5 linked regions of the Rattus norvegicus genome follow. The protein of the gene in region 5 binds, or shares a complex with, the protein of the main gene of each other region. Each region holds a gene or a part of one and is shown on either strand. Other genes may lie near its edges. A codon is read from its position in the direction of its gene.

The links.
Region 1: the proteins of Snap25 (region 5) and Napa are in contact, whole or in part, in a cryo-EM structure (PDB 6MDM), measured with the Rattus norvegicus proteins. Residues at the interface, in NP_112253.1 of Rattus norvegicus: Glu37, Lys40, Asp41, Ile44, Arg45, Leu47, Asp51, Glu52, Glu55, Gln56, Arg59, Glu62, Gln152, Asn159, Met163, Asp166, Glu170, Thr173; in NP_542152.1 of Rattus norvegicus: Lys122, Glu155, Glu156, Ser157, Asn158, Ser159, Ser160, Asn162, Pro196, Leu197, Leu198, Tyr200, Ser201, Lys203, Asp204, Ala234, Phe235, Ser236, Arg239, Ser268, Ile269, Ser270.
Region 2: the proteins of Snap25 (region 5) and Syt1 are in contact, whole or in part, in a crystal structure (PDB 5KJ8), measured with the Rattus norvegicus proteins. Residues at the interface, in NP_112253.1 of Rattus norvegicus: Lys40, Asp41, Ile44, Leu47, Val48, Asp51, Glu52, Glu55, Gln56, Arg59; in NP_001028852.2 of Rattus norvegicus: Cys277, Arg281, Lys288, Val292, Leu294, Glu295, Asn336, Tyr338, Asn340, Arg398 (codon at 539), Arg399 (codon at 536), Pro400 (codon at 533), Ala402 (codon at 527), Trp404 (codon at 521).
Region 3: the proteins of Snap25 (region 5) and Vamp3 are in contact, whole or in part, in a crystal structure (PDB 5KJ8), measured with the Rattus norvegicus proteins. Residues at the interface, in NP_112253.1 of Rattus norvegicus: Asp147, Leu150, Glu151, Val153, Ser154, Ile157, Leu160, Arg161, Ala164, Leu165, Met167, Gly168, Ile171, Asp172, Gln174, Asn175, Ile178, Asp179, Ile181, Met182, Ala185, Asp186, Asn188, Lys189, Ile192, Ala195, Asn196, Ala199, Thr200, Met202; in NP_476438.1 of Rattus norvegicus: Ser15 (codon at 3,887), Arg18 (codon at 3,896), Leu19 (codon at 3,899), Gln21 (codon at 3,905), Thr22 (codon at 3,908), Gln25 (codon at 3,917), Val26 (codon at 3,920), Glu28 (codon at 3,926), Val29, Ile32, Met33, Asn36, Lys39, Val40, Glu42, Arg43, Lys46, Leu47, Glu49, Leu50, Arg53, Ala56, Leu57, Gly60, Ala61, Gln63, Phe64, Ser67, Leu71, Lys74.
Region 4: the proteins of Snap25 (region 5) and Rph3a are in contact, whole or in part, in a crystal structure (PDB 5LOW), measured with the Rattus norvegicus proteins. Residues at the interface, in NP_112253.1 of Rattus norvegicus: Glu38, Asp41, Ile44, Arg45, Leu47, Val48, Met49, Asp51, Glu52, Glu55; in NP_598202.2 of Rattus norvegicus: His617, Ser618, Ala621, Ile648, Ser649, Ala650, Lys651, Gly652, Leu655, Tyr659, Leu662, Lys663, Lys665.

The regions. Positions count from the first base shown.
Region 1 is NC_086019.1:85,924,859-85,929,156, reverse strand, and holds part of Napa (alpha-soluble NSF attachment protein), read right to left. Parts: intron 3,340-4,298; coding exon 3,223-3,339; intron 1-3,222. UniProt on the Homo sapiens protein: Required for vesicular transport between the endoplasmic reticulum and the Golgi apparatus. Together with GNA12 promotes CDH5 localization to plasma membrane.
Region 2 is NC_086025.1:45,702,052-45,706,349, forward strand, and holds the end of Syt1 (synaptotagmin-1), read right to left. Parts: intron 4,037-4,298; coding exon 3,903-4,036; intron 672-3,902; coding exon 465-671; 3' UTR 177-464; downstream 1-176. UniProt on the Homo sapiens protein: Calcium sensor that participates in triggering neurotransmitter release at the synapse. May have a regulatory role in the membrane interactions during trafficking of synaptic vesicles at the active zone of the synapse.
Region 3 is NC_086023.1:166,788,485-166,793,230, reverse strand, and holds the start of Vamp3 (vesicle-associated membrane protein 3), read left to right. Parts: upstream 1-1,708; 5' UTR 1,709-1,759; coding exon 1,760-1,761; intron 1,762-3,846; coding exon 3,847-3,928; intron 3,929-4,746. UniProt on the Homo sapiens protein: SNARE involved in vesicular transport from the late endosomes to the trans-Golgi network.
Region 4 is NC_086030.1:41,201,868-41,206,646, reverse strand, and holds the start of Rph3a (rabphilin-3A), read right to left. Parts: upstream 3,086-4,779; 5' UTR 2,934-3,085; intron 2,824-2,933; 5' UTR 2,714-2,823; intron 1-2,713. UniProt on the Homo sapiens protein: Plays an essential role in docking and fusion steps of regulated exocytosis.
Region 5 is NC_086021.1:144,492,695-144,497,651, reverse strand, and holds the start of Snap25 (synaptosomal-associated protein 25), read right to left. Parts: upstream 3,058-4,957; 5' UTR 2,911-3,057; exon of another isoform or gene 2,728-2,910; intron 2,640-2,727; exon of another isoform or gene 1-2,639.

The sequences.
Region 1 (4,298 bases), on a different chromosome or scaffold from region 5:
CCAGCTTGCAAGCAGATCAGGGCACAGTGGCACAGTCAGACTCCTATAGAGTTTGAATCAGACTATCACAGCCCTGCCATCAAAGGGCAAACTGCTAGCTGGGGCAGAGGCTATAGGGCTCAGTGTCTGACCTTGAAGACTGTCCTGAGTGAGTCCTATCCTTGAGTTTAGCCTGACTGGCCTCTCCTGCAGAGAAGGCTGGATGCAATGAGCACTGGGCCCTCTTCATGGGGGCTCTGCACCCCCATCTGAAGAGCACTGTCCTCTCCTTGGTGCATCCAAAAGGTCCTGGCCCTACTGGCTGCTTGAATAGCAAGCTGTACCGAACACCAGGATGGTACCTTCATTGTACCATTTCTTCTAAGATTTTAAATTGGGAAAAGGATTTTTTTTTTGAACAAGTTATTTGGAGGAGAGAGGCATGAGTGGGAGGCATCTTCTAGCAGATGGAAATGAACTCTCAGTATCTTTTAACCACCAACTCAGGAGGGGGTTGGGAGAGGCACAGGGCCGGACAAAGGGTCTAGATGGACTACAGACCATGTGGTAGGAAGGCTCCAGGGCTCCTACTGGACTGAGTGTGCTGGGCTCTCTCGGGATGTGGATGCTAAGGTTGCTTCCTGTGGGGATTTCAGCAGCTAAAGCCTGTTGGCATGGGATCTGTTGAGGGGGCTGTCCCTGCCACAGAAGCAAGGGAGAAACATGGATTTACAGGGCCTTGGCTCCTTGCTCTAGGAACAGCTTGGAAAGCAGCAGGCTGCTGGCTGACACCCTGATCTGCTCTCACCACAGGGCTTCTGATGCCACAGGTCAGTTCCTACCCTCCTGGGTGCTCAGCCTGTAGAGAGAGGCTTACAGAACCCAGCTCAACTCTACATTACTCTGAAGTCCCTGGCATATGCAGAGCTAAGCAAGCACCGTTCACAGTAAAACAGGGACAAACTGCAAGCCCCAGCAAGGAGAGGGGATGGATGCAACAGCGTCAGGTGCTTGTACATAGTAGGCATCCAAGAAACCACAGAACAGTAGGCGTGGGGTTAGGTAGAAGACCCGTGAGGACAGACTATTTCCCTGCCTATGCACACACAAGGCAAGCTATAAAAGGGTTAAATTCCCAGGCCGTCAGCTGCTGCTAATGGAAGTCTCAGGTGGGATCCCTAAAGAGCTGACGGATGAGACCACAGGGCAGGTGATCAGACAGGTGAGGGAGATTCCTCCTGAACAAACTGGGTGTTCAAGCCTCCCTGGCCTTCCTCCACCTGTTTCCTAGGACACTGGCCACATGGGAGAAGCTCTAGAGCTCAGGGTGGCTCCCTCCTGGATATCAGAAGCTGCTATGTGCACCTCGCAGTAAGTGGATGCTATCACCGAGGAGAAAATAAAGCCCTGAAGAGTAACAGGGCTAGGATGCAGTTTCATGGTGCAGCACAAGGCCCTGGGTTTCTTGGGGGAGGGGGAAGTGAGGCTCAGGTTACCCAGGCATGTCTTCCCCTGCTTGGCTAATCTTCTCTGTGAGCCCTGACTGGCCCTAGACAAAATGGCTGTTATCTTTGCAAATGCAGTCCATTCCCCTCATTTGTGGAGCTGTGATTGGGGAGGGTACCATGGCAGTGGGGCTGAATGTCACTCAGCTGTCATCCCTCCCTGTCCAGCATGAGTCCCTAGCCCTTACCATCAGAAGCTCTCCTCTCACAATTGTGCTAGGTACCCTCTCCACCATTACGCCCTTAGCTGCAGCATCCTCAGTGCACATCCACATTAGCCTGCACGTGTTGAGGACAGGGCCCATGCCTGAGTCTCTGGAGGAAAAGGACCCAACCACAAACTGGGAGGTACAGTTCTGTTCAAAGAGCTCATGATGCTAGGGCATCCTTTAGGCTGGCAGCCACTAGCACCCAGGAACTGGTCCTCCCAGCCCCTCCGGATGGAGCAGCAGCTGAGGGGCACAGATGCTAGGCAGTGTCTCCAGGCCAACCAGTCCCCCAGGGAGCAAAAGGGGAAAGCATGAGGAGGGCTGTGTGGAGGAAAGGACTGCCCTGAGCCGCTGGCTGTATCCAAGTCCTACCCAGCTGAGAGGCTGTCTCTCTCTGCTTGTCAGCCCAGGGACGGAGCCAACACAGTCATCTCTCTAACTGGGAGTGGCTCTGTCAACAATGGCAGTTATTCACTGATGCTGCAGAGAGCATGGGGTGCGTGTCTTCTCCCTAGAGGTGAACCTTTATCCAAACACTGAGCACCTCCTTTTGAAAAGAATAGTCACTTCTTTTCCATTCTTCTAAAGAAAAAAATCCTAGATATTTTAAAAATTATTAATGAGACTTAGTCTCATACAGCCCTAGGTGTGCCTCAAACTCGCTTTGTAGCCAAGGGTTGAGGATGGTTTGTTTTGAGTACCTGAATTTTCTGCCTCTGCCTGCCAAATGCTTAGATGATAGGCATGAGCCACCATGACTGCGTCAGACACCTCTGCTTGCTAAAAGTTAAAGTTAGCAATCTATGTGGCTCTAAGATTTAAAAAAGAAATCATTCTGGGGACCGAGATGTGTATAACACATTCTCAGCACATCAGAGGTCCAGGCTGAATCCCTAGCATCACAAATAAGCGAATAAAAATAATGAAAGCAGGGGTTGGGGATTTGGCTCAGTGGTAGAGCCCTTGTCTAGGAAGCGCAAGGCCTTGGGTTCGGTCCCCAGCTCCGGAAAAAAAAAAAAAAAAAAAAAAAAAGAACCAAGAAAAATAACGAAAGCAAACTCCCCAGCCCAGGAAATCCGAGTCTGAGGTCCCTGGGCTGTGCTGCGTCCAAACCTGTCCCCAGAGGCTCTGCTTTAAGGAACTGGCCTCTGGCAACTTCCCCTGCTTCTTCTTGGAGTGCAGGGAAGCCAGGTCAAGCAGAGCTCCACTTTACTTGGCTTGGCTTGGACTGCCCTGCCCCCTTCTGCATGCTAATTCTGACAACTGAACAGCTTTGCCTGGTTTCCTGGCAAACAGTGGGTCTGAAATGGAACTCCCACTCCCAAATGCTCAAAGCCTGGGTGGGAGAGGTGCCACCTGCGGGGCAGGATGCCAGTGACAGCAAAGACCAGCCAATTCTGCAGTCAGGGCTTGTTTTGCTCCTGGCCTATCGTGTGTCAGCCACTGGAAAAGCCCAGATCTGTGCAGACACCTGAGGATGGGGACAGTGCTCACCTGTTCTGCCGTCTGTGGCTCCCACAGGCCCTTACCTTGGGGGTCAGCTTTCTTGAAAGCGTTGCCGGCGTCCACAAAGCAGGTGGCTGCATCGTGCTTGCTCTGGAGCTGTAGGTGCAGTTGGGCAGCCTGGCAGAAAGCGTTCCCAGCAGCTAGAATAGAACAGATTGGCCCAGCTTCAGTCACGGCCCCAGGAGGCACTTCGGGCTCTCAAGAACACAGCTAGAGTGCCAGGCAGAGGTCCAGATCAGCCTACTCCAGCCCAATGGCAGCCTTCGCAGAGCTTTCTGGTGAATCGAGGAGGTCAGAAAGCTGCCTTGGGAAGCCTAGGTCCCACTATAAACAAATGGCCAGGGTGAACACAGTACCCGCCCATCCCCTCCACCCAGCAACTCAAGAGCCTCCACTTCCACAGAGAGGAAGAAAAGGCAGGCAGAGCCGAGGACTAAAAGTACAAAACATCCAGGCTCTTGGGTTCAGAGACTCTCCTCTTGCACAGAAAAGTCTGGAACCTAAACAGAGAGCAAGGAGAAGATGGGGAGGGTATGAGGGGTGCTCTGGGAAGGTACAGTGAGATTAATCCATGTGACACTTCCCACTTGCTCCCTCCCCTAGTCCATTTCTTTCCTTAACTCCCCAAATCTCTCAGGTATAGCCCTACAATGAGTCCTTGCCTAGAAAGGGAAACAGGACAGCAAGAACCAGAGTCCTTGAAGACAGTGCTCATGCCCCAGACTGGCCAAGGGGAGAAAGCAGGGTCTGCCCCACTGTGGGCTTCAATTATCACCTCAGCCCAGCTAAGGTGCTACCTCGCTCCATGCTCCTCCAGTCCCAGCTGAGTGGGAGCCTCCAAGCTGTGGGAGGACTGGCTGGCCTCTCACCTGAGTACAGCAGGGCACACAAAACCTACCAGGGCTTTGCCCTACCATTATCTGATCACAGCATCAGTAACAGTAGCAATATTCATCATTGTCACTGGAATGTTTTAGTTTTTTGAGATAGGTTCTTTTTTACTGCAGAATAATCTCAAATCCCCAGTGTAGCCCTGGGAGGCCTTAAACTCCTGACTCTCTTGCCCCACTTCCGGAGTGCTGGAACACACACTAGGCTC
Region 2 (4,298 bases), on a different chromosome or scaffold from region 5:
ATATTTTTGCTGGAATGCAGACGATACTATATTTACCATATAATATATTATCAGCTCTCCTATATCTCAGTCAATTTACATAGTTTAAAATAGAACATCTTATTAAAAACATCTAGATATACACAGGTTAGGAAACGCTTACAACATACAAATACACAAACTAGAAATAAATCTTTAGCATACTGGTATATACAACAGTGTGATACAATACATAATTTCAGTCATGCTCTATCTACACATCATATTGCTTAAAAGAAGAGTAGATTTGGAGGGCAGTGGTATGATGGAGGGCATAAGGGCTTTCTACACTTAAATTTGTGCAAATTAAAACAGGATTTGAAGTACCACTGGATTGTATCAGGAATGCATGGCTGGAAACCAAAAGGACCCATATTACTGAGGTATTTACAGATACTGGCTAAAGAGCACTATGTGGGCAGATGCAGAAAGGCTTCGTTTTCCCTTTACTTCTTGACAGCCAGCATGGCATCAACCTCCTCCTCTACCTGCAGAGTGTGCCACTGTGCGATGGGTCGCCGGGGGTTGGCCAGCATGTCTGACCAGTGTCGCAGCTCCGCCCCAGTGCTGTTGTAACCAACGAAGACTTTGCCGATGGCGTCGTTCTTGCCAATCTTGTCATAGTCCAAAACAGTTACCACCACTTGCACTTTCTGAAAGAGGACACACGAATGCACAAGTGTCAGCCAACCCTGCAGGTAAAAGCCCTGGGACACACAGAACTTCCTTGGGATCTGAGGAACTAAGGATCCATTCCTGACCACCAGGATGAGGAGGCTGAGAACTCTTGGATATGAAGACTTCACCCTGCTTTTTTCATTGTTCTAGCTCGCCATTACCATCGCTGTAACTGACACACTCATTGTCACCGCCATCTTGTTACCTTTCTTGTGATGTGGTGGGGCAATGTCTCATGGACCTCGGACTGGCTTCAAGGTCACTATGTCACTGATGACCCTGAACTCCTGATTCTCTTGTTTCTACCTCCCAAGTGTTGAGATCACAGGAATGTGCCATCATGCCTGGTGGTCATCTTTAACACATACACATTAATCTTTATTACTTCATGTTATCTAATAACTTTACAGAAGGAATAATTCAGTTATTTTTCTCAAGCGAGCCTACTATTATTTTCACTGTACAGATATAGATGCTGGAAGCTCACGGAAGTTTTTTGACCTGTCTGAGGTCACATGAGGGATGAATGAGTTGGTTTCTATGCTGTTAACCACCGTGCCAAGGTACCTATGAGAGGTTGTGACATGGCTTTACGTGTCTTATTCACGAGTGTTATGGCATGAGGACCTAGGCCATTCTCTTTGTCTTTATTAAAACTTATGGAGTCATCATGCATTCTGATCTCATTTCAAGAGGTGACAGCCAACATTTTATGTGTAAGTAAAAGAATCTGACCTAATCGTATAATTGTGACCAGGAAATATGACAATACAGTTGAAATCTTTTAAAAGGGCAGTGACTAAAGAAAATATGCTTTTTCTTGAGTGTAATTTTCTTAATAAGCATTGATTAGTGTATTATTATGCTATTACATACTATTAATTAGAATATTATTATAGTATAAAAGGTATACTCTCTAAAGAGTCCCACAGCCCAGGAAGTGAATTTGGTAAGTCAGAATATGTGACGGTTCTGATTTAGATACTGGATATAAAGATAAAAGATTAAAATGCAGTAGCTATATCGATTTGTGGCCAGCATTAAAGGGAAGGAAAACAGAACTGTGACAGCCAGACCCTGGTGAGGATACACTGAGTTATGCTTCTGTAGACTTTGACTCTGAGGACCAAACTACTCTAGCAGTGTGTTTCGAGACACCACTGAGATACATCTTTGGAACAGCAAAAACAAATACTTCTTTTCTGTAGAGCAATTTCCTTATTACATGTGTTTATCATTTTCTGTGTGTGCATGTGTGCAGGGATATGGACCACACTGCACATGTGGAGGTCAGAGGACAACTTGCAGGAGTTGCTTCTCTTTCCCTACCACGTAGGTCCTGGGAATCCATCCCAGACTATGATGATGACTGCAAGTATCTTTATCCACTCGGCCATCTCACAGTCACTTCTGTGTATGGACTTCAGAATGTAGTGTAAAATGTAGCACCATTTTCTATGGGCAGCCTTGCTATGATGCCACTCTTAAGACAATTGCCTTTCTAGGCTGGGAATATGGCTCAGTGGTAGTTGGGTCATCCCCCAGTACCACAAATAAATAAAATAAATAAATCACCTATTTACTAGGTAGTGTTTGAGAACAAGGATAATGTTGGTATGTGTGGCTTTGACTCTCAGATCTTGTCCCAAGCAAATGCACCATGATACAATAACTGTCAGGGGCCAGCCTGGGAGCATGATGTGCAAACGTAATAGATGTTTTCATATTTAGGGCAAACTTGATTATGTTACTGAGGGGAGAGCTGGTTAGGGGCACCCTTTGGACTATTTTTGTAGGGGCCTCCATAGTTTATTTCTGCATTTTTTGATGGTGGTGAGGATGATATTTTCTGCTTTCAGAAATTAGCATACTTTGCTTCCTTCACAAAATGTTTCAGAAGGGTTGAAAAAGACAGAAGACAGACGCACAATCTTATAATCCTAGCCTAAGAAAAACTAAATAAACTGTTTTAGCAGGTAGAACACTATTGTCTTTAAGGCAGTGGTTCTCAGCAAGTGGGTAGAGACCCCCTGGGCAGAGGGTTGAACTACCCTTTCCCAGGGGTCATACATGATGTCCTGTATGTCAGACATTTACATTACAACTCATATGACAGTAGCAAAATTACAGTCATGAAGTAGCAACAAAATTAATTTTATAGTTGGGGGTCAGCACAACATGAGGAACTGTATTAAGGAAGGGTCACAGAATTAGGAAGGTTGAGAATCACTACTTTAGAGAAATACAAAGAAGGGGAAAACAATGGTGTAGGATTGAGAGGGGGTGGGGGAGGGAGAGAGGGAGGGGGGAGGGGGGGAGGGGGAAAGGGAGGGAGGGAAGGAGAGGGGAGGGAGGCCGGATGCAGCCAGTGGGTGTTTGCTACTCCCAAACCCAATCAGCTTCTTCATGTTGGGCTCATGTTCTCTCTCCTTTAAAATGCTGCCCCAAATCGAAATTTTTATTTTGTTTTTAATATGCCTCCCTTTCAATATATTTGTCCTTTCTGTACTTCAAAGGTTGAATGTATTTTTATAGGTATAGGATTCTAGCCCAAAGGAGTAAGTTTACAAGATTTTTTTTTTCATCCCAATATCTTGTTTGGTGGAATTAAAAAAAAAAATGCCAGGAGGTGTTAGTTTCCATAGGAATAAGGGCCGAGGACTCAAAAAGTTCACTGAGCAGATATTGCAAAATAAATTATGGTAGAAAACTGATGTTTCAAGGATTGGCCAGAAGGTCTGAAGTGCTCACAGTAGTGAGCTTAGAGTAGTGAAGTACATAAGTACATGTAATTTTCTAGCATGTGAAGATATGTATGAGCTGGTTATATATCCACCACGGGCCAACGTGAGAAGGGACACTGGCTATTTTTTCCCTACAGAAGTGGATTTCTTATTGTGGCCTGGGAATGAATAGGCAGGTTTGTTCTCCCTTAGGTTTCGGATTCCATAGACAAACTTAATGACCTAGCAAAGTGGTTCTGATGGTTTTCTGTTTTCTACGTTCCCTCTGCTCAGCAGAAGGCAGCTTGCTGTACCAGCTGAAGAGCCAGCCCTTCTCACGGCTGTGTGTCTGTCATGTCCTGCTTGGTGGGGCTCAGGCACCGCATGAACGGGCATGGGCAGAGCCCTGGTGACTCACAGGGTCATTTATGGGATCTGAAGGCCTGCGACTGGGTAGAGGGACACACTCATGTCAGACCATACCTGGATTTGCTCGAACGGAACTTCAAAGCTGAAGGACTCGTTGTAGTAGGGGTTGAGTGTGTTCTTCTTAATCGTCGTCTTTTTCTTCTTCAGCCTCTTACCGTTCTGCATCAGGTGAATCTTCACGTAGGGATCTGAAAGACAGACACAGGAACTCTAGAAGCTCAGGCGTGGATTTTTGTTTTATCTGAAACATTCTAGTACGATTTACTGTGTGTGTGGTGGTATGCACACCACACTGCATACATGCATGGAGGTCAAAGGACAGCCGTGTGGAAGTCTGTCTTCTTCATCTACTGAGTGGACCCTAGGAATCAGACTCAGGTCATTAGGTCTGACAGCAGGAACTTTCATTGTCTGTACCTTTTTTGTCATCCAGAGCCACATGTTTTAGAT
Region 3 (4,746 bases), on a different chromosome or scaffold from region 5:
TCTGTTGAAGAACTCAGCTGCTGGAAACCATGCAAAATGTTTTGAATTGCCCTTAAAAATATGGAAAATGTTTTCTGAATGCTTTCTATTCTTCCTGCTGTAAATTAAAAATGAAGAAAATTTCCCCATATCATCCGCGTTTTGCTTTAACCTGACCTAAAACCCAAGGTGTTGTGGGTGGGAAGTTTGTTTGTTTTTTTTTTTTTTTCACCTCCCACACACAGTGTCCTCCCACCCAGCGTTTCACTTAGAGCCACTTTCCCAAAGCACTTGCCTACCCTGCCTGGTTCCTCAGTACCTCGAGTCTTTCTTCTTAAATGGGTTGCTTGGAAGATAAGGATCTCGATCTTACATTAACCCTTCTCATGTAGCTCAGAGAACCCATGAAGTCCCAACGCTTACGTATAAGGATGACCTTGAACCTCTTAACTGTTTACCTAAAAAGCTTCTGTTGAGATTACGGGTGTGCCGACAGGCTGGGTCTTATCTGGTTCCAGGGGATCAGACCCAGGACTGGATGTTAAGACTAGCACCCTGCCAACTAAGCTACTCTTCAGCTCTACTAGGTAGGTTTGTTTTTTTTTTTTTTAAAGACCCTTTCCAGCTTACCTCACAAAGGCTTCCCTGCAGGTATTTTTTTCCGTTACTGTTCCAGTCCTCTTCGCTGCAGAGTTCTGCTATCTTTCTGGGAGTACTTCACTTCTGATCTACCTCAGAATAAGTGCCAGTTTCACACTCTGAACCTCCCACCAGGAGCCCACTGCAGTTTCTGTTCACTATTTAAGCGCAGCCCCACACTCTCCAGTTGGTCTGTGCTCCTACCTAGAATGTTTTTTTTTTATATCTACTACTCAACCCAGTACCCACTGAAGTGGCGTGCTTTATTGCAATACTCACCTTTGCGAGTTCACCACGCTGAAGTGGAAAATACCTTAGGTGTATTTTACTTAATGAATCCACCAACTGAACTTATTTAGTCTGTTTAAAGAGACTGTTTGGATTCTTTGCGACGTATACTACTCACCCCCTTTGAACAAAAGTTGAGTATCTCTTCTCTGCTAGGACCAGGGAATTACAGAAATGAAGAAACTTACAGTTCTCAAAGTCCAAGGCTCCCTTCAGGAATTGTAATAGCCGTGCAATGGCAAATACTTGTCATGTGAGAACCTGAGAGGGGATTTCTTCCAAACCCTGTGGTCAAGACTCCAAATGGACTTCCTACTGCCTCTTTCTCAGAAAAGAACTTTGTCTCCTCAGGTCCACTAGATTATTCTGGAACGTTAGGCTCATAAGCAGTTTCTAACATGGTCACGACCCAGAGAGAAGGTATGCGGGCTCATAGTAATGTAAAACGCACCCATTCTCACTCTAAACTGCCTTTCCAGGGCTAGAGACAGGGCAGCGGAGACACTGCAGGAAGCTGCTGTGATTCCAAGGCGCTGAAGAGCCCAGCCCAAAGGCGCAGGCGCCGCGCTCTAGCCCCGCCCACTTGTCCACCGAGAAGCCCGCCCACTCGTCAGCGTGGGCGCTACTTCAGCGCAAGCTCTGGCCCCTCCTACTCTGGTCAGCCCGGAGGTTACAGCCCATGTAACCCCGCCCATTTCCGGCGCGCCCTCGGCGGCTGAGAGCGCATCGCCGGTTCCGGTCCTGCCCCTGTTCCTGACGTCACCGCAGCCCCGCCCATCTCCTCAGCCTCGGTTGCCTGCAGCGCAAGTCCACGGACCCTCGGCCATTCGCTGCCGCTGCCGCCGCCGCCAAAATGTGAGTGACGCGCTGCGCTGCGAGGCGAGGCGGGCTCCGGGGGCCGTGGCCCACTCCTGGGACCCGCTTCAGGCGCGGTGGCTGCTGCTCGGCACTCGGACTCGAGTGGAGGCCTCGCGGGCCTAGGTGCAGCGTCCCGGGCCCTGAAGTGGGCGGCGGCCCCGCGGTGCACTCTGCCCCCGGACGCTGCGGGACGAGTCTTGGCGCCGCGACGTCCCCGAGTGCTTCGAGGCCGGCGGGCAGACGCGGAAGGGCGGGGATGGGGGCACCGGCTGACCGAGGAAGCGGCCGCCCCACCCTGCCTCTCCTTCCTCGAGAGGGGCGGGGGCGCTCGCCCTCTGCGCCGCGGTGCGGGGCAGGAGCGGGAGCCCGGGAGGTGGCCCGGAGCTGAGGCCCAGCCCATGGTAGACCAGCGTTTGGCGTCCTCAGAGGAGCTCTCGCGCTGCTAGCGCACCTTGGCAGCGGAAGGTTTCGCTTCCGTTTTAAGCAAACACACTCTTGTTTTGAAATTGGTTTCTAATAGTAACCTTCAGCGGGAATTGATGTATCTACTTCTCGAAGTTGTCACTACTTAAGATGTACCTGGTCAGACTGCTGTGCAAATGACTGTGTCCCGTCCATGCATGAGAGAATTAAAGTGGACCTGGTTTCACTTCAGCCAGCTGCATGTTTTATCCTAAGTTTTAATAAGATGAGGAGGATAGTAATACCCTCTTCATAAAGTTATCAGGCTTCAAAGAGGAAAAAAAAAACATGCATAGTGCTTCCAGAGCACGGCCCTTAGCTGTTTAACTTTCGGACCCTGAGTTCTGAGACAGCCATCAGTGTTGTGTGTCCTTGATGGTGGACACAGTGCTGACTTAAAAGAACTGTTGAGGGGTTGGGGATTTAGCTCAGTGGTAGAGCGCTTGCCTAGGAAGCGCAAGGCCCTGGGTTCGGTCCCCAGCTCCGAAAAAAAAGAACCAAAAAAAACCCAAAAAAACTGTTGAGTCAACCCTGGGGTGACAGTTGTGTACGAAGGCACAGGTTGAGCACTGTCTTAGATACAGGAAGAGTTTAATGGAGTTAATAAGGACTTAAAAGCCAGAGTAGTCATGAAGAGTGGGGATGAATGAAAATACAGATTCACTGAACCAACATGAGATGACTTTCCAACAGAGACAATTGCTTCAGCCACCTTCCCATTCACAGAGACCCCTCGGTTGCACTACTTCAGCACATTGGCTGTTCTGTGATTGTTCCTAACCATAAGGCAGTTCTTGCCACAGCAAAAAGGTCACGAGACTACTGAGTGCCTTTAATCATCTGAGTGCCTTAAAGCAAGTTTTTTTAAAAAGAGGACTTCATTGACACAAAACAGATCTTATTTTGCTTCAGACTTTGGTCACTATGAAGTGATAGTCTTTTTTTTTTTAAGATATATTTATTTACTATATATAAGAACACTGTCGCTGTCCTCAGACACACCAAAAGAGAGCATCGGATCCCATTACAGATGGTTGTGAGCCACCATGTGGTTGTGGGATTTGAACTCAGAACCTCTGGAAGAGCAGTCAGTGCTCTTAACCGCTGAGCCATCTCTCCAGCCCCAGTGATACAGTCTTAAGAATTATTGAGGAATTATAAAAACACATTAGTGCCTTTATTTCTTACTGCAGGGCTTTAGGAATGATTGCAGTATAAGGAGTCAGTAAGACTGAATCCCAGCGGGGCTGGGGATTTAGCTCAGTGGTAGAGCGCTTACCTAGGAAGCACAAGGCCCTGGGTTCGGTCCCCAGCTCCGAAAAAAAGAACCAAAAAAAAAAAAAAAAAAAGACTGAATCCCAGCATAACAGTTTGTACACACAAACATGCCACGGGATACTTGTGAGCAGAGAACAACCTCACATGGCAGCCCTTCTTTCCACCTTAGTAGAGACGGTATCTCTTGTCCAGTGCTGCACGTATCAGGTGAGCTGGCCCTCAGGCTTCCAGGACTCTTGTGTCCACCTCCCATGTCGTGGTCGGAGTGTCGGGATTATGTTTGCCTCATCAAGGGCACCAGGAATCACAATGTACTCATACCTGTGACTTTATACCTTTCAGGTCTACAGGGGTGCCTTCAGGGTCCAGTGCTGCCACTGGCAGTAATCGAAGACTCCAGCAGACACAGAATCAAGTAGATGAGGTACTGCTCTAAAGTTTCAAGTGTGACTTTTAAACACACATGGGAATTCTCTCTAGAATTTTATTTGGAAAAAGAGTCATTGGAGCTAGAAAGGTGTCTCGGGTTGAAAGAACATGTATTGTTCTAGCAGAGGATCCACCTGGATTCCAGTCACTCTCATCTGGACCATGAAACTGCCTGTAATGGACTCCAGTGGCACATGCATGTTCCCTCACAGACACACACATAACTCATTGTTTTTTAAACGTTGGGGGGGGGGGGGAAGCATCACTGACATGTGAGCATAAATTTCGAGTATGTCAGAAGTCATCTTTCTAAATGTGTATTTGCAGGGCAATAGTAAAGATTCTGTGAGAAACTCAAACCAGCATTTCCATATTCTTTTCTTAAAGATTAGTTTTCTTTTTATGTATATGATTATTTTGCCTGAATGTTCTAGAAGCCATCTGCCAAGCACAAAGGAGACTCTTCCTGGTTTCATACTAATTTTTCTACTATCAAATCACAAACCTAAAACATATCCGAAAGTTTGTCCCCAGAGCCACTTGTAAGATAGGGTAATTGGATTGCTCAAGCCAGGAGCAAGTCTTTCTGAGCTGGGTTTTGTTTTGCTCCCAAATTGTTGTGTGTCTTATAGCAGGATTTACTAGTTATCTGGTATAGGCAGGTCTTTGTAGAAGCTTTCTCTGATATTTGTCGAAGGAGCCATAGAAGGTGGAACTGCTGTAGTCCCAGCTCTCCCTGGAATTCTTGAGCTAGTGGAGTCCTATGGCAACTTTTGTTTGGGTATGTACGTGTAGAACCACGGTGAAGAGCCT
Region 4 (4,779 bases), on a different chromosome or scaffold from region 5:
CTTCCTCCTCCTCCTCTTCCTCCTCTTCTTCCTCCTCCTCCTCCTCCTTCTCCTCCCCTGAACACATGAGCCTCTCCATCCTGGGAGGCAGCTGAATAATTCAGATGCGTCGACTCCAGCCCACCACTACTGGGTCCCGGGGTTTATTTTTATCCAAGTTCAGCCACAGCTCTTAGCAGAAATAAACCCTACTACCTCAACTCCAGCTTGTCTGCCTGTAGGACCACCCTGCCCCCGGTCCCCTGCAGGAAAAGACAGGACCATATGTTGGCTGTGTGTAGGGGAGGGGGGTGTGGGATTGACGGAAAGCCATGGTCTGTGAGTGATACAGGAAAGCGAAGGTGTTAATAAAGATTCCCATGTCCTATATAAGCCATGTCCTACAAGCCACCTCCCCCAGCAGCCACCCACCCCAAAACACACATCAGACACAGTGGCTGAGGGAACAGGGCACCAGGAGCTGCTGGGAACCCCCTTCCTCCATGCTGATGGGATAGTAGCAGCCCCAAATACAAGGATTAACTTTATCCGTCTCCAGGGCTCAGCTTCCCAACCCAAGACAGGTTTGGAGGGCATCCGTCCTTTCTACGCCGCAGGCCGGGGACCAGAAATAGGGGCTACCAGGATGTAAGGGTAAGAGAATGCCTTGATATCCATGACGGTGGATTCCAAGACCTGCTGTGTGGTTTTAGACAAGTTGCTTTCCCTCTCTGGGTCTCCCCCAGCAGTGGGATCAGAGGGAAACAATAGTAAGTCTCCCTAAAAGTATGGCCGCTCCTTGCCATAGCAGCGGCTGTAACGAAGATCTGAGGTTCTGGAAGAAGCCTGAGTCACCCAGGGCAGCTGACTCATTGCATAGATGGAGAAACTGAGGCCCAGAGAGAGAAGAGAGGCCCCGAGACTCAAGGGCCCTGATCCAAGGCCAAGAATCATTCCGGAAGGTTCTCTCACTGGTGCACCCCAATGCACCACTTCAGATGTGACAGGGAGGAGGCAGGCTCCTGGCTCCTGGCCACACCAAGGGAGATGGATGGCCAGGAAGCCTTTGTATCTGGACAGCCCGGGCCTGGGCTGGTCCAAGGAGCTGTATTGTGCTGCAGGGTTGGAAACTAGAAGTTGACTAAGGAAATGTCCCACAGTATCTGTGACACTGCCTGGGGCTCCTGGGGCTCTGTTGATCATCTCCAGGCCCCCTGCATCCTCCCCACAGCCCAGCAAGTGAAGGATTCACTCTCATTGCAACAGTGAACCTCAATGCCCGTCTCCTCCCCATTCCAAAGTCCAGCCACATTCCATTCCAACCAAAGAACATGAAAGTCCAGTATTTGAAGTATCGTCTGTGGGCAAGCCTGCAGTGTCTCACTCAAGCAAGCCAAGCTTCTTCACTTTCCATTCATGTGTATGGTTTCCCAGGGAGGCAGATTCCTCAAGGTCACCCAGATTGGCAGCCAGGTTTCGGAGGACCCTCTCCTTGGCACTGACCACCAGGCTACACTCTCCTCCTGTGTCCTGCCCACATAGGCTTGTACCCTGCGCTCCCTAGCCCCTCATGGCCCTGGGGCTGGGTGAGACCCTCTCAGCATTTCCAGATTGCTAGTCCCTGGGGCTAACCTTGTCTTCTTCTTGCCTCCCAAGTTCAACTTCCTAAAGAAATTCCAGCGGACAGAGACGGCCGAAGTGGATTGCGGGGCTAAAAATAAAGACTTTCATTTCCCCAAAAAGGTAGGAAGTAATTAAAGCAGAAAGCAGAGCAGAATCCTCTCCCATAGATCACAGATTACCGGCAAAAGCATTTTAAAAATTAAAGACTCGAGCTTTGGGACTTCGTGGTGAGGGACCTCTGCTTCCCACTGGCTAACAGGTTGGTATGGAGTTACCCCTCACTGAGATGTCAGAGAAAAAAAACTGGGATAGAGGTTACAGTTTGTCCTGGAACTGGGGACCAGGGACTGGAATGTCATGCTCCCCTTCTTCTCAGTGGGGAGACGGGCTCAGTGACAGAGTCCCTGTGCCACAGCCACATACATACCCCCCATCCAATCTCTTACAGGTGACACCACCTGTAAAAAAAAAAAAATAGAGCATCCACAGCTCGGCTCGGCAAGCAGCTGACTGCTTGACCATTCATGCCAATCGAGAAGGTGGCGCTTTCATGGATCCTCGCTTTCCCATCTCAGGACAGCTGAGTTTGCAGAACCCACCACAATTCAATTACTCAGCCAGTCCTGGCGGAGAGCCCAGTCTGAGCCCCGTCCTAAGCAAAGGCTGGCCCAGGATGCTCAGGCAAGGGTTAACCTTCTAGGCTCAGGTGACTCTCCCAACCAGGACTAAGGTGCCTACCCACCAAATCAAACACTTAGAGGCCCCCTGTGCCGTTCTGGCCATGAAGGGTTAACTCATTCAAGAGCTGCCAATCACTTTCCTCAGCTTCTGCTGCAGAGGACAAACTGAGTAGAAGCCACTCTCTTGCTCACGTCGCCTGAACAGGCGCACTCTTGCCTCCTCCCTGGGCACTGAACTAAAATCCTATTTGTCTCTGGAGTGTTGCTGATAAAAGCCTACAGAATGCAGGCAAAGAACCGTGTTCAGTTATCGCCAGCCCTACCCTCCCCGCTCCCCTCTTCCTAGCTCATACATGAACATTGCACATCTCAGTTAGGGTCCTGAGATCCCCTAGTCCATTTGCAGGACCACCACGAAGAATGTCACTCACCAAGACAACGGAGGATTGCAGCAGAAGGCGTGAGCCAAATTCTTGCCAACTCCCTGCCGGGGGGAGATGTTAAGTGCCAGCGACTTGGCTTGAAAGACCAGCAGATATGCCTGAAAGAAAATTGTGCATTTGACTCTCCCTGTCTTCCCAAAATAAAATCAAGTCACCAGCATGAATGCATGCCCCTAAATCATGCCAAAAGAAAGAAAGAAAGAAATACCCCCGTCAAAGGAGAAAACTAAGTACAGTTGGAGTCTACAACGGTGGGCAGTGATTCACTCAGACTACTCCACATGGAAGGAAGGTTTTGTAAGTCTCTCTTTCTCTCCCCTCTTCTCTTTCCTCTCTCCCTCTCTGGGCAGCGTAGGCAACTCTGGGATGCGGGCAGTAGACGAATCAATTGCTTCCCTGGTGCCCGATCCTGCTGTCACCTACTGCAAAAACCCTGTGTGATCCAGAGGGAGGGGCAGCCGCTTCCCGGCGCAGGGGAGCCCAGCTTGCCTCCCACCGCGATGCATTGTGCCGCGTTGCCTGCGGGAGGAGAGGTGGGAGGCCAGGAGGGGAGGCTGGGCGCCTGGGAACGATCCGGATTGGCAGTCAGTACCACGGACAGCACCAGGACGCAAGCGGAGGGGAAGGGCAGCCACTAACCCCAGACAGAACAGGGGAAGTTATTGGATGGCTGCAGCAGAGAAAGGAGGAGGCCAGAGTAGAGGAACCGGGACGATTCTGTCAGACTGCATACAGGCTACCTCACTGCACACTTAGGCTAATATTGTCAAATGGGCTATAACAACCCCTGATCTTCGCCGGTACCTGTGCGTCTCTCTGTGGTTTTCAGGATCATCCACATTGCTGCTGAAGTCTGCAACTCGGGCTCAGAAGGTAGCAGGAGAAAACAAGGCTAAGAAAACTAGGAGCGGGGGCTGGGGATTTAGCTCAGTGGTAGAGCGCTTACCTAGGAAGCGCAAGGCCCTGGGTTCGGTCCCCAGCTCCAAAAAAAAGAACCAAAAAAAAAAAAAAAAAAAAAAAAAAAAAGAAAACTAGGAGCGGCTGAAGGGGAGGGTGATTTGTTTAAACAACCACATCTGACAGATTTCAGGGAGTCTGGGCAACCTTAGGAATAGCGTTTAATGTTACCATGTCCCTGCCGACTGCAAACTGAAGACATGACCACCACAACTTCCTCACGGCAAAAAGAATGAGTCTAAGGTAGCAATAAGAATGCCCACACTAGGGGCTGCTCTGATTCCATGATCTATAACCCACCCTCTGATTCAAATGTTTTGACAGAGATAAAGGACTCGACAGCCAATGAGTCTGGTGCACACCAATCTGCAGCATGTGGTTGGAGTGGGATGGGGCTGGGAATTTTAGGAGTTCCAGAACAGACACGGTCCTCTGCCAAAGACCCATCCCCCCAAACCAGACTGGCTTTCTGAGGTAAAGTCACAACACGCAGGAAATAAATCACTGGAGAGGGGGGCGATACACAATGGGACTTATGTTCCCATGGCACCAGCATCCCGGCTCCCTGGTGTGATGCTTCTGCCAACTACGAGAAAGTGCTCAGGGTGGAGAAAGAACGTCAAAGCCCAAAGAAGCCAAGAGCCATTTAGAACCTCCCAGCAAAGTGAGGGGAGTCCCTCTCTTCATGTAAAGCTTCCCATGCAGGGCCCAGGGTGAGTCTTTGAGAGCTAGGATTCAAACTGTCAGGATATGAGAGACCTTTCATAGCATGGCTCTATAGATGATCCCTGTGGTGGTGTTGATGATGGTTGTGGTCATCTGGGTGATGATTATAGCATGAGGATGGTGGTGGTGGCAATGATTATAGTGGGGGTGGTGATGGTGGCCATGGTGATAATTGTTGTTGTTGGTGGTGGTGGTGTTGGTGTTGGTGTTGGTAATGGTGGTGATGGTGGCCATGGTGATAGTTGTTGTTGGTGTTGGTGTTGGTGGTGTTGGTGGTGGTAATGGTGGTGATGGTGGCCATGGTGATAGTTGTTGTTGTTGGTGGTGGTGGTGGTGGTGTTGATGGTGATGGTGGTGGTGATGTTGATAGT
Region 5 (4,957 bases):
AGCATTGTTTCTTGATAGTGCATCATTTACAAAAAATCAGGATTTTCTTTTGTTTCCTCATTCAATCTCTTGATTACATTATTTTTATTTCTACAGTGGTCAAAGGCAACAGTTCTCCTGAAGGCCAGCTGCGATGCAGTTGCTAGGTGTCATTGGAGAAGAAATCAATTGTTCAGCTGATAACCTTTACTATGGGGTTAACTCCAGAGTTTAGGAATATTATCTAACAAATTAAGGGGCAGCCTGCCTTGGAGATGTGGGTGTTTTATAAAGTAAAAGTTAAATTATCAATTCTTGGGAGATTGTACCACGAAGAGATTGTAGAAACTGTAAATTATTTTGTGCTGGGAATGCCAAATGTGGAAACCAACAATAAACAAACAAGCAGGTCCCATCCCAGTGTCTGCAGGATTGTTTCCTGGATTCTCCCTATGCCTCTCTGCTCCCACCTCCTTCACCATATTGTCCTGGATTTTCAAAATTCAAACTTAAAATGAAGGAAAAAATCTTTCTATTTTTCCCACTGAAGTTTTTCCATGACATAAATGTTAAATCTATGTTCCAGGTACGTTTCCTTTTATTTTCTCAGCTAGCTGGCCTATATTTAGCTGTATAATTATTCATATTGCCTCTTTCTCCCACACTGCACCCTCGGCCAGCTTCACTGCAGTGCTGTACCCCTTTCCTTTGCCTTCCACTCTACAGTAAACACAGCAGTAATTACTAACATTCAAGCACATAATTCAAGCAGTGTTAGGCTTTGCATTTGACGCAACTGCGCAGAACTGTCTGGATGTGCACTATCACGGTAAAGCATTTAAATAGACTCCTCCCCATATTTCTCCCCCACCTCCCATCAATGAAACATAGTTGTTTATTATATATGAAGATTTCAGAGTTATAAACTCCCATGCAGCTACAAAAATCTGGAATAAATGTCCACTGGAAGCAATTTCCATCTACACACAATAATATACTGGCATATACAAACATGGAAACACATGATTTTCAGAAAAAGGTAAAAGAACCCATGAATAAATAGCTGGAGATAAAATAATTCTTTTTAATAGACAGGGAATTTTAGTACCTTTGGAAGACAGATGATTGGAGTTATAACTAAGTAGACACAATTCCAGACCTTTTGAAGGTCTTTAAAGGGGTTCATGCTAACATTTCTTTAATGCATTATATACATCTTTACACGTGAAGCTGTTATTCTCATTTAACAACTGCTGAAAGCATATCATCTTTTTTAGTCTTGATACATTCGTGACAATTATGGGAATCTAAATTGAACAGATATGTATTATCCTGACAATTTTTGCTCATGCAGAGTCTCCAAGCCTCGGAGAAGAAAATACTTATCATGACCTCAGCAAAATCCTTCAGTGCCATAATAGAAATTACAGTGAATCTTGGGGTCAGTTCCTGCTTCAGCCTATGTATAACCCTGAAGGACATCTTTAAGTTCTCCCAAGGATGTCAAAATCTACATCAATAGAGCTGCCACAACCAGTGCTATGAAATTCACTAACTCCAAAACCATGGCCAGAGAGATTGAAATTTCTTCGGGGCTGTATATGCTTGTTTCTATCTAGTTTTCAGAATAAAGGGAGAGCAACCAAGGGATTTATTTCCTAAAATTAGTTCTTCTTAGTTCAGATAACCCATATTCTTGATAAAAAAAAAACCCATAGGGATGCAATTGTCCTATGTCTAGATAGTACTCGCATTATCATATAAGCCCACTTGAGCCCACCTAATATCAACATATCTACCCCGTGTTAAAAACAAAAAATTACAGTGTTCGTGTCATAATGGAGGCTAAGTGACCGTTTTTAAAAGTATGCTTTCTTTTTCTGTTTTTCTGTTTTTCTGTTTGTTTTGTTTTGTTGCTTTTTTTTTCTTAACCAAGGCACAGGGAGAAATACAGAAGGCTTCTACAAGTAGTCTGTTATTTCTTGAAGCTACGTGGGAGGTGAGGAAGAGAGCAGGCAATTGTCTGTAAATAAATCCCCGATGACAGGATTTATTCTTCTGCCTTTCTTTTAATCTATCACGCCAGCTTTATTAAGACTTTCTCTAAGATCTGGATCTCAGAGAGAAAATTTGGCCTCCAGCCCTAGCCAGGCGGCTCTGCAGCAGGTAATGCGGCGCTGCAGCCGGATCGCTGTCCGCGGTGCTGAAAGGTCAGGGCGCCGACACGGGCGCCGAGCACTCCTGTCCAGGGTGCTGAGCTCCCTCCACGCACCCCAACAGCCTAGCCCACCGCGCTAACCCCCTAGAGCTTTGCCACTCTGCAGCCCCTTCCCGCCTGCAGCTGACTTGGGGCAGGCGGCATAAATCAAGTCTGTGGGACGTGGAGGCTGCTACCGTTGCGGCAGCTCAGCTTGCCCAGGGCGGGAACTACCCCCCTTCTCCTTTCGCCTCCCCAGCGCCCACACCCTGCCTTCTCATCTCCCTTGGGTAGCAGTGCCCTAAACACTACAGTCATAATCATAGGGTTGGAACGAACGACAAGATCATGTTTTGCTTTTAAATTCTAGTCTACAGGAAAAAAAACCGCAAGCCTAATAACCTAAACATATCTCAAAACTGCATCGCAAGATGGAAGAGGGTCCCACGGCTGCTTCAAAAGAGTAAGTTATTATTCTATACACATCCTCGCTATTTTTTCCACCACTCCACCTGCAGTGTCCCCATTCACTCCTTCTCCCAACAGCTCACCTGAAAAATACTTTTATGTGGCCCCAGGCAAGAATCTAGGCAGACGAGCACACAGGGAATACCGCACCCTAAGTGCACCACTACTTGTATTTACCCAGGCTCACTTGGGCTGCCAGCTGCAGTCCCTTCTGTGTATGCAGCCATGCAGGGCCAGGGCCAGGATCGGAGGAGGGGGCTCTTTACCTTGTCTTCTTCAGAGGATGCTGTCCGCTGATCCCTGCAGGTAGCAAGAGTGGAGGAGCCGCCGGGTAGGGAGGGAAGGAAAGACAGCTCCAGACCTCCCCGAGGTTTCGTCTTCAATGCAACGTGAGCTCTGCCCTCATCAAAGATGGCCGTTCCTTTGACGTCAGCAGCTTTTAATAGCCGGCTCCTCGAGGGGCGGGGAGGAAGTGTGATGGGGGAGGGCGGAGGGAGGAAGGTGGCTGGGGGCGGTAGGGGAGGAGCCGGGAGGTGCGGAGCGCTTGACTCAGCTCCCCGAGCGCTTTGCAGCAAACCTTTTTATTTCAATCTTTTATAAACATCCAAATGGAGCGATTCTTTTGACTCCATTTTAGCACTGTCTTGGGAAACACACATTTCTTGCGACTGTTTTCCTGATGGCCTATGCCTTTCCTTGTGTGTGCATGCATATGTGAATATATGTATGTATATAGGTGTGTTTGGAATGTATATACAATTACAATAATGTAAATACATACATATTTATATGTAAAACGTTCCCCTGATGATTTGTCTTTGGTTGAGTCACAGACACGAGAGGAAGGTAAAGGAATAGAAGGGTAACGATATGAGGGATTGGGATAGATTTCTGTTGTGATTTATTTTCTCCAGAGAAGGGGGTCTGTCTGAAGAGGCATTCCCCTTGGCTCTCACCAGCTCCTTGCCTGACCAGGTTACTTAGGTTGCTATTTTTATGAGTAGTTATTGTATTAAAGCAGCATTGCGGGTTTAGTGTTCTCATTTAATCATAGCCAGTTGGGGAAAGGCTCACACTTTTCTTTTAAAGTACGTCAGAGCAGTTATCGCCAAGATAACGCTGGAGATGGGAAAAGGGAGAGGGAAGCTAGTTAGCCCTGCTAGTTTGCCTTTGCGGTCTCAGGGCTTTGAGTTGTGAGTTGTTTGCTCAGGGCTTATAGATGACTAGATGACGCTGTATCCGGTTGAATTTGCAGTCCGGACCTAGGATGATGTTCGGGTTTCTTAGACCATGTCCAGAGGACGAAGCATGCATGTCCAGACATCAGGAGGGAAGGTGGCTAGGACCTGACAGAAATCTGGAGTGTCACTCACTCATTACACAAGCCCCTGGCACTTGCAGTGGCCAAACCACTGAAGCTCGGGGGGAGGGGGAGGGGGAGGGGGCTGGAATGAGCAAGAACGTCCACTTCTGCTGGTTCAGATGAAAGATTAGAAGTAATAACCACACAACATAATCCTGTCTTCGCTTGTCGTGCGTCAGGAGCCGTCAGGAGCGGTCAGGAGCTGGGGAGGGCGGGCGGCGATATGCAAATAACTCGGTGGTGCAGCCTCTGGATGATTCACAGGTGTTGGGGAGGTTGTCCGGGTTCTAGGCAGTGAGGGAGAGCTGGGGAGCGCGTGGGAGGTGGGGGACCTCTTCTCAGGAACTGTTTGTACTTTTCCGCGGAGGATGCGATTAGAAGTCGTGCCTTGCAATCTTAAAACTTGATGGCCTCTTGGGCGATGGAAAATCCTTTTCTCTTAGAAACACATACACACACACACACACACACACACACACACACACACACACACACACACACAAAGCAACGTGCAAACGCTACCCCGCCACACAGGCCCCCCACCGTCTCAGTCACACACACACACACACACACACACACACACACACACACACACACACACACACAAGCTCACTGGCTTTAAAAGCAGGCTTAGGTGATAAAGCTTTTAATTGTAGGTGAAGATGGTCGGGGAGCCGAGGTGGGAGGGGGAAGACTTGTAAAGGGATTGTGTGGACCAGAGGAGCACAATTCGCTTTTTCGGAAAGATACCCAGATCCAAGGGATATTTTGAAATCTTAATGTTTGCGATGATAATGGTGTTTGGATTTTTATTAAAACCAGATTCCTGGAGTATTGCTGCTGCAATTTGCTTATTTAAAAATTATTCAACATTTGAAAATTTTGTACGACAGAAAAAAAATATGCCTGGTCCTCCCTCAGCTGCCACTCTAGCTCTTATTTTCATTATA